2 linked regions of the Drosophila melanogaster genome follow. The protein of the gene in region 2 interacts with the protein of the main gene of each other region in a pairwise test. Each region holds a gene or a part of one and is shown on either strand. Other genes may lie near its edges.

The links.
Region 1: the proteins of CG34324 (region 2) and Mst87F interact in a two-hybrid assay, tested with the Drosophila melanogaster proteins (one large-scale study listed by BioGRID).

The regions. Positions count from the first base shown.
Region 1 is NT_033777.3:13,825,707-13,829,665, forward strand, and holds Mst87F (Male-specific RNA 87F), read right to left. Parts: upstream 2,303-3,959; 5' UTR 2,126-2,302; intron 1,981-2,125; exon of another isoform or gene 1,873-1,980; intron 1,783-1,872; 5' UTR 1,765-1,782; coding exon 1,594-1,764; 3' UTR 1,445-1,593; downstream 1-1,444.
Region 2 is NC_004354.4:13,454,932-13,460,428, forward strand, and holds CG34324 (uncharacterized protein), read right to left. Parts: upstream 2,733-5,497; 5' UTR 2,681-2,732; coding exon 2,671-2,680; intron 2,576-2,670; coding exon 1,782-2,575; 3' UTR 1,603-1,781; downstream 1-1,602.

The DNA.
Region 1 (3,959 bases), on a different chromosome or scaffold from region 2:
ACGCTCTAAGCTGAACCAATCCACTTACTCACTGGGTTGCAAATAGGGCATGAATGGGGAAACTCAGTGCCAGTTATCCAGTGAAAAAAAGAGCCTGGAAATTGGATAACAAGAGCAGGAGATTGGATTGGGGTGATTGTGTGAGCTATAATAATAATAATATAAATAAATATGTATAAATAATACATGCAAACTTGACAAGGAGGAATCTAAAAGTACATAAAATGCACACATTGTTGTATTTAGAAATATTTAAAATTAGATGTCTACGGAGTAAGTTGCGTAATTTCAAATCTTTCGTTAAAACTTAAAGGGCTGACACAAATTGACTTCTGCCTTAATTTAATGCGAATATTTTAGCCCACAATGACAGAAGCTAACGAACCTAAATCTTGTTTGATTGATATGAGTTAAGTTCCCATACTAATTCGTTCTTTGGACCGATCGGAAAACCGTGTGTATTGACACATTTGCTGGCGCGGCTTCAAACAAGCTCTAAATCAAGTTCAAAGTCAAACTAATTATCGGCAATTTGGCTAATCAATAATAAAAGCAGCTAGCTAGCAATACATAGAAAAATTCCCCCGCCCAAAAAGACATATGAAACATGTTTGGTTTAAGCTGGTGTTTATATTTAGTTTCGGCGTGTTTTTTCGACGTATTTTGGTTTGCGCCGCCACAACAAAGCGCTTTGACCAGCCAAACTACTTACACCGACTGTCTACAAGAGTATCGTCCCACACAACACACAAATAAATAATTTAAGGCAAACACAGGCAGCAGCAGCAAATCAACGCGAACAGCAATATTTTGGCAGCGAACTTGTTTGATTTGCATAAAGTCGCACAAATAAAAACGATGCAATTAAAAAGGCGCGCGCGTAGATCCAGTCAGCTGATGATGGTTTCGGATTGGCTGGAGTTGGCCAGAAATATGGCCAAAAAGGGGTGGGGGGGGGGGGGCGGTCATCTCCAGGGGGATCGGATCGGCGACTGGAGACGGCGGCATTCGGGTAAATTTAAATATATTTTTTATATGCACTTTGTTGACTTTTTGCGCTTCGCCGTCGTTTAATACCGCTCGGAATTCAGGAATCGGAATCCGCTGTGCCGAAACTAGTTCGTCGCAGAATTAGTGCAGTAAATATACACAAAAGTAAAATAAAAATAAAAATAAAAACAAAAACACAAGAACATGCATGACTGTGTGCGGGTTAAATATGTATGTACCTGCTTAAATAAGTTTTATTTAGCGTGTTCTATTGAAAGGACAATAAACTCTCGGCGAAACGTCAAGGTCGACCACATCGCATTAGAAGACTGCGGATCGATTCTAATTCAGGTCGCATTTGCGTCTAAACATCTGTATCTGTGTTCTAAAATCAGATATTTGGCTAAGCAAATTGCATTTGACTATTATCACTAATCAAAAACCAAACCTTCTTGAAGCTTACACCTCATATTTATTGTCTCAAATACCTATATTTGTGGTTCACGAATATTAGATGAATACGAGGATGAAATAGGGATAGGTTCTATCCTATCGTCTTGGTGTTCTGGTGAACCCTTCTTGGACATGGCCAGTTGCAACTGTCTAGCAGCAAGGGTATCCACAATAGCAGCCGCCACAGGGTCCACAGGCATAGCATGGTCCGCAGACATTCGGTCCATAGCAGGGTCCACATCCTCCTCCGCATGGTCCGCATGGACCACAGCAGGGTCCGCAGCAAGGTCCGCAGCAGGGTCCACAGGGTCCGCAGCACATGATTAATTCGTAAAAGTTCTGAAGGGAGAAAAGGTACGTTTAAATGATATGCCATAGGAATTTTTTACACATTTTCATTTTTGTAAATTTTCACTTATTTTCACTCACTTTGAACCGAACAAAAAGAAATAATTTGAGACTAGACGACAAATTTTGATGTGTTCAGGCCGAAAGGACAAATAATAATGATACAAAATCTGGTTACGCACAGGTATATCGGTTTGACAAGTCGGACTGAAGAGGCAAAGGATACTATATAAAATATTTTGTTTAAAGCATTGGCTAAAGCTTATAATGATTGTATTGTAAGTAGGGAAATGCTCAATCTTCATGTGAATTAACCTTTATATTTCGATCCTACCTATGTAGTTATCATCCAACTTGGTAGGAACGCATCAAGTTGCCACTATTTTTCCAGTGCACTGTAACATATAAACGAGGTAAATGAGATTTAAATTTTTGTTTTGTCGGATCATGTGTTCATTGCACCCGGCTGAAGTTCGAATCGCTGCCGGTTCTCAAGTCGAGTTCTGCGCTGCACTTTTGTTTACTCTTGATTTTGTCGTACTTTTTGATTAAGTGCATGGCGCATAGCCGATTGCCGATTGCCGAGAATCCGGGTATCGGGGCTGAACGGGTATACTATATATGCAAGTGTATATTAAGTTCATTATCTGACCGAAGACTTGTGTTGCTTATGTTTTTTATTTTGTTTTTTCTTGGTTTTTTTCCCCAGCCGAATCGAGCCAAGAATGTCGTCGCATTGAAAGAGGTCAATCACCAGCGATTGCGCCTTGGATGTCACTCGGTGTAATTGAGCGCAATTTATTTCATTTGCTAACGATTTTACGATTTCGGATTTAATTAACTCCCGAAAAGCAGGAAGCCTAGTGGACCAGTTGACAGAGCTCGCCAGCCTCCAAAATGGAACCCTAGTGTTATACACAATGATTATACAATGATTTGTATTTGTGCATGACTGAGTCAGCCGGAGCATTCGGGCAGAAAAGTATGGGTTGCAAATAAAAAGCGCATAATAGGCGTTTAAATGCAATTTTCTTCGCAAAATGGTCGGGCGAAATATCAAAAATTCGAATTATATGTTTTGCCGCATGTTGATTAGAATGTATGTATGTATTTGTGTGTGTGTCGATCAGCAGAGGCAGAAACCGAAGCAAAAACCCCGTCGTCAAACCGCACAGAAGTCCTCTCCCTTCTAGCAGAAATATTTGGGTAGAATCTCGCATCCGAGGAGACGGACAAGTCCAACTCAAAGTCGTTCTGTTTCGGCACGGTGAAAAATCACTATCATAGAAAAAATATATAGCGTAGTGACGAAAGGCGTCTCAAAGAAATGTGAACAAGAGTAGAGTAAGATATATTAAATACAAATCTAGCTTATATTACAAAGTGTCTAATATAAAGTGAATCAAACTTAGTTACATAAATCTAGTAGCGAACTTAGTGACGAAGCGCGTCTCAATCGAATCGGAAAGCGGTAGCAGATTTTAAATAATTATTTTCTTACCACCTAAATGTGGTTAAATGACTTTCATTGAATTTTTCTCTCTGTGGCTCTCTGGTTTTTTTTTTTCAAACTCGAGATGGATGGAACTCTGGTCAATAATTTTGTGAGGGTGCCGCCAAAAGGGCAGCAGACGCTGCTCTAACTTAGTTTTTTCGTTCATATTTGTGGCTGGCCTTTGTTTGAAATAGATTATTGGCAATACATATGTATACAAATATTTTGTATTTCGTCTGGCGACGGGAGTTCAAGGATTTTTATTGGGTTCAGTGAACCAAATGTCTTTCCTCCGGCCGGAAATATCGAATTCGCTTTAATTATGGCCCCTCGCATCAACTTATTAATATAAGTTTGATGAAAAGTGAAACACAATGGGCACACGCAGATGTCATCATCATCGGCTGGAAAGCGCTGAGTACTGCCAGTCAGCCCAGGGAAATCAATATCCGCCTATCCCTAAGTGTGCGCCATAATGACTTTAGGGGCGTGGCCGTCAATGGGGCCAAAGGTGAGGAGCGACCGAAAGGGTAAACGGCGGATTCAGGTAACCCGAGAAGCCGACGAAAGTGAAGAAAGCACGTGCCGCCCCCTAAAAAGTGGCAGCTGATCGCTAAAAAGGAAAAGTAAGGCGCAGTTCTGAAAGTCGGATATATGTACATACATACATAGT
Region 2 (5,497 bases):
TTTTTGAGCCTTATTTTCCTTCCTTTTGCGGCGTTCGTCGAATGCCCCAGTGAAATATGATAAAAGTCAGACGCGACGCCACGTGGTTCTCGGCTGCGGCGCTTTGCGTTTTGATTTGTGTTGCTGACCCAAAAGAAAAAAAAAAAAGAAAAAAACCAAAAATAATAATAATATTATACGTACAAAGGAGCAAGAATGTAATACATAAAAAACACCGAACGCAGCGACGAAAAAAATGCAGTTTTTAAGTGCACTGCTTATATTTCTTGAACCTTAAACATATTTTCCCTAGAGCATGTCCATATAACTAAAGGAAATAGTTTGTTTCATGGTTATGCAGTAAATGGGTTCATTACTTTTCATTTTAAGATGCACCTTTCTCTTCTAAGAATACAATGAACTTGAGCACTTTTATAGTTATTATTTTTAGTATTTTCCTACGCCTTTGTTGGTTTGTGGGGGAAAAATACCTGCAGATATTAGCAAAAAAGAAAAAAGAGAAAATCATTTTCAGGGTAAAAACACGTGAAACATTGCATACGAACGCTGGAAAGACAAAGCGTTTTTGTGAAATATTTAACTACTTGCCACACTGGCATGCCTTTACATATAACGCATTTGTTCACACTAATTATATGAAATGTAAGGGCAGACTCGCGTCTCGTTTTTTTTTTTTTGCAGTAAGTATTTTTTTATGTGGGATTTAAGTAAAGTTAAAGTTCTTTCGAATCGTTCGCAGCATATTTTCGTAAGCCATACATTTATGAAGACATTTGCGCAATTCACATTTACGGAAATGCGAGATATACATCAGCGTATAGTAACAATTTGAAGGAAAAGCTACAACAAGCCATGAATAACCATCAAGGACTATTTTTCCCTGGCTGATTTAGTGACTTGGGGAGATTTCCGCGAGATTTTCCGGGCCCACTTGGGAACCGCCAACGTAAAATATCAAGGATGCTTATCGACAAATAAATTCTTTGCCCTGTCAAATGCCCTGCACCATCACCAGCACCATGGTCCACAGGCCACAGTTCACAGTCAATGTGGGTGGCACAGGCTCGGCGGTGGTATGTGGCAGGATATAATAAATAGCCTGACATAGTAATGCCACACAGACACTAACTCACAAATGTCGCACTGTTATTGCTGTTGTTGTTGGCCCTTCCAGTCCTCGACCGAAAAGTTGACGCCTATAAAACGGATATGGATGTGCACCAAACTGTGGCATACTTTTCTGACCCCCACCCGACCGAGTGGCACTACCACCATCCACTACCACTTCCACTCGCAGTCGATGTCGCTCCAAAAGTGTTGACAAATTTATGAGCTTGTTTTGCTTTTTCGCAATTTTTGTTCGGCTGATTGAAAGTTTTCTTTATTTTGCCTCCGGGCAAATTGATGACAATTGGAGAGCGGGCCAGACAGCTTAATCGTTCGTGTTCTATATTTAGCTATATATTAATAAAGGCTTTGATTGATTTCGAAAGTAAATCAAAGGGCCGACACAGCTGCATAGTTCAAATTGATCAAAGTAACCCTGTGCTGGCAATATTCGGTCACACTGTTTTGCACGCAACTAATGTTCAACTCAAATATGAATGCTCACTCTTATTTATTGTATAATCGGTGAAATATTTACTTTATTGCTTTGGCATAGTTTACAATTAATTCACACTTGCTTTGCTTCTATGTTCTTTGAAATAGTGAAAAAAAAAAAAATTCTTTAAAGCCAATTTGCTTTGCTTGTGCGCATGGCCACATTGGCAGCAGCAACATCAGTTGCGCCTGGCGTCACAGTTGTTGACGGTACTGGCCAGTCGGCAGGCCTTCAGCTCGCGATCGAACCAGTAGCCGTTGGGGCAGTTCTGGCGCTTCGACCTCTGACGGTTGCACACGTAGTAGCGGCGACAGTGACGCACGTCGGCGAGGAAGGTTCCGTCCTCCTGGCCACGGCAATCGTGGCGCGAGATCAGCACCTGGGCAATAGCAACTGGATTGTCTATATCGGGCTGTTCTTCATTTCCGTCGACAATTGGCCCAGCGTTGTCGCTCTTGGGTGTTGTGCAAACGGTTGTGGTGCAGGGCTTGGTGGTGGTGCACGGTGGGGTGCAGGGAGGAGTGGTGGTGCATGGAGGTGTCCTGGTGCAGGGGGGTGGTGTCCTGGTGCATGGAGGAGGTGTCCTGGTGCATGGAGGTGGTGTCCTGGTGCATGGAGGTGGTGTCCTGGTGCATGGAGGTGGTGTCCTGGTGCACGGTGGTGGTGGTGGTGGTGGTGGAGGTGGTGGTGGTGGTGGGCACGTTGTAGTAATGCACGGAGGTGGTGGTGGTGGGCATGTTGTTGTGGTGCACGGTGGTGGTTCTGGTGGTGGGCATGTTGTTGTGGTGCACGGTGGTGGTTCTGGTGGTGGACATGTTGTTGTGGTGCACGGCGGTGGTGGTGGGCATGTTGTTGTTGTGCACGGATCCGGGGGAGGAGTACACGGTGGGGTATCGGCTCTAGGCGGATGTGCCAAAGCCTCATGACCGCCGGCGATAGTCGCCAAAACTAATCCAATCAGCAGCAAGTGGTCTAGGATAAAGCACAAAAAAAAAAAAAATAAAAATAAGAAGAAACTCCTTGTTTTTTTTTTTTTTTATGGAGGATCTTGGATCGGAGCTACCCACAAACTCTCATGTTGCGTTCGATAATGCCTCTGCAGTTTCAACTTCTCTGCTGGTTAGCGAATGATGTTAGCTGCACTCGGGGCTCTTTTTATATCGCCCAGTTGCAGATTTTATCTGGCTGTGGAACAGGGAAAGCACTTGAGATCTGTTGAGTGGTACATGGTCCATGATCCCCGAGGTTCTCGGCACTCTGCTAATTAACCAAAATTGGTCTGGTTGTAGGTTTTGGGGTATCGTGTTTTGTTCATGTAAGCAAAATGTTTTGTTTTTTACTTCGCAGTTGTTTTATTTTTTGCTGTAATATAATACTTATTCTTTGAGGGGAAAACAATCATGCTTAATGTTCGTTTTCAAATATATATTGTTACATATGTCATTTTTTAGACTTAATACTGTGTTTTTTTGAAAGAGTTTTCCCACAGTGATCTCCATTCGAACATACACTGATGGCATTGACATTTGGCCCGGTTCATTTGGCCATTCCGTACGCAATCTGTAAAATAGTTGAAATTGCCTGTTAACTGATTTCGCAGGCCCGGCCCCCCATTTGCTTTCTGTTCCTTTTTTTTTTTTTGGCAATTGCTTCTTGACTCCGGGCCAGTGCAAACAAGAGATTTCGGTTTATGGCCCCGGACCGGAAGTGTTAGGCCAAGTGGCCATGTGGCCAAGAGGCCATGTGGCCAAGAGCGGATGAGTGGACAAGTGTTGGCCATTTGGCAGTCGATAAAAATGGCAAAGAGCCTAAGGGGGCATCTGTGTGTGGGTATGCGTAATAATTTCGGCATGAAAACCTCCGCATTGCCACTTCCGCCCCTCGGAAAGTCCACCTTGCCTGCAGCGCGGTTGTGAAAACAAAAAACAAAAAGGACCACCATATCCCCGTGTGTCCCGCATATCCTGGACAGCTGGTGGTGTAGGGGGGGCGTTGAAAAGCGCTGGACAGTTGGCAAAAGTTTTGTAATTAAATATGGTTGTTGCAGTTAAGATTTATGAGCGATTTTTATACCAATCACCCAGTGATAGAGAAGTTTACTGGGCCAAGCGAACAGCGATTCATTTTAAAACAAATTCAAATGTAGCACCTATTTTTGTTTAGTATATCTATACATATTTTAATTATTTATTTTAAAAATCTGCTATTGAGCTTTCTCTTATTTATTCACAATTGAATCAAAGCATAGCAATATGACATGGTTTCAAATCTGTCCACATTCAGCTCCATCACGTGATATCCTTGATTTCACCACCCAATCGTGCCCTTTGAACCCTTGCACTGCGATCGTAAATAATTATTTATTTAAACAGTAGAATATTTCCAAACGGCATAAGCAAACAGAATCAATTGTTGTCGCATGGCGAATATTTATGCACGCATTTATATTCCGACATCTGTTTTCGGATTTCGGAGGTGCCCTTTTCAGACTCCTTTTTTTGTTTTACAATTTTTGAGTTGGGTATTGTTGAAGCTGCGAAATGATGTGCATTGGATTTTAATTTATATTCAAAGTGTGGGGAGTGCTTTACAGCCCGCATAAGCCCCGAAAACTTTCAATCGTTATGGTTCAATTGGATTGAGTTAAATTCACTTTGTTTCATTCACTTAGCACTCGTAAAGCTACACCCTCGCCAACAAACACGACTTGGCCATTTGCCGGGCAAAAATTACTCATACGCAGCGTGTGATGTGAATATTAAAAAGCAGCCAAGTTTATGATAAATCCGCCTTTCTTCATCTGCCAGTGTGCTAAAGTGTTTATGTACGCTTTTATATATTTATATAAAGATATATATACATACATACATATATATCTAAATATATGAAGTATATGCGAATAGTTGGCGAAACAATCTCAGATTATGAATGAACTTTGGCCAGTTTGGTTTAGGCGGAGATATGCACAAAATAGTTGAGTTTCTTCTAGATTATGAATGAATCACTTTGCGGCTAAAAAGTTCGCTGTGATTTAGGCGATAGTCGAGCAAACTTTCCAGACGAGAAAGTGGCCCGAAACTTTAAGGAGTTTAATCATTACCAGGGTCTTAAGATTATTTCACTCTTTTGTTCGCCCATAAACTTCAGATTGGTTTTGAAGCATCTATAATAATTATACGTTCACTTAAAAGCTGCTGGAGCAGAAGTAAAAGTTTCCCAGCTTTCTTTCCCATTAAAAACTCTGGGGACAAGCGGCGAGTTCTCGATAAGTTAAGTAAAATGTACAAAATAAAGCGAATGGCATTGGCTCAAAAAGTTTCACCATTGTATCGTTTTTTATAATCCATTAGTCCCCGAAAAGAGTGCATTTTCTGCCTCTACTACTGCATATCTTATCGAGTTACGTTGCAAATTGAATTAAAAATATATATTTTAAGCATTCATGCATTTTTCCGGCAGCTCACACACACACGACAACCGAATTATTTACCCTGCTGCTAAAAGTGGCAGCCTCACCTCGGCCTTTTGTCAGGTTTTCGAGTGGAGACTTTTCAACTTATCTCTGACCATCTCAATGAATTAGTCGAGCAACATAAATTAAGCACTTAGCTGTTGTAAAGTTTTTCCTTAAGCGGAGGCAGCTTCCTTCGTAAAAGATGACCTCGCCCAACAGAAGACAAACAGAGACACGGCTCAATGGAAATGCCCTTCTTTCTTCTCACACACACTTGCCCAACCACCAGACCGAGATGAAGAATGGGAAATTAAATTAAGCACACACTCACACACACACACATGACTGTTTGTCCAAGGAAGGATTGGATTTAAGGACTGTTTGTGCAAGGACATTGTATCAACAATTTCCAGGGCTCGAGACTCTGTGCTACGGGGCAT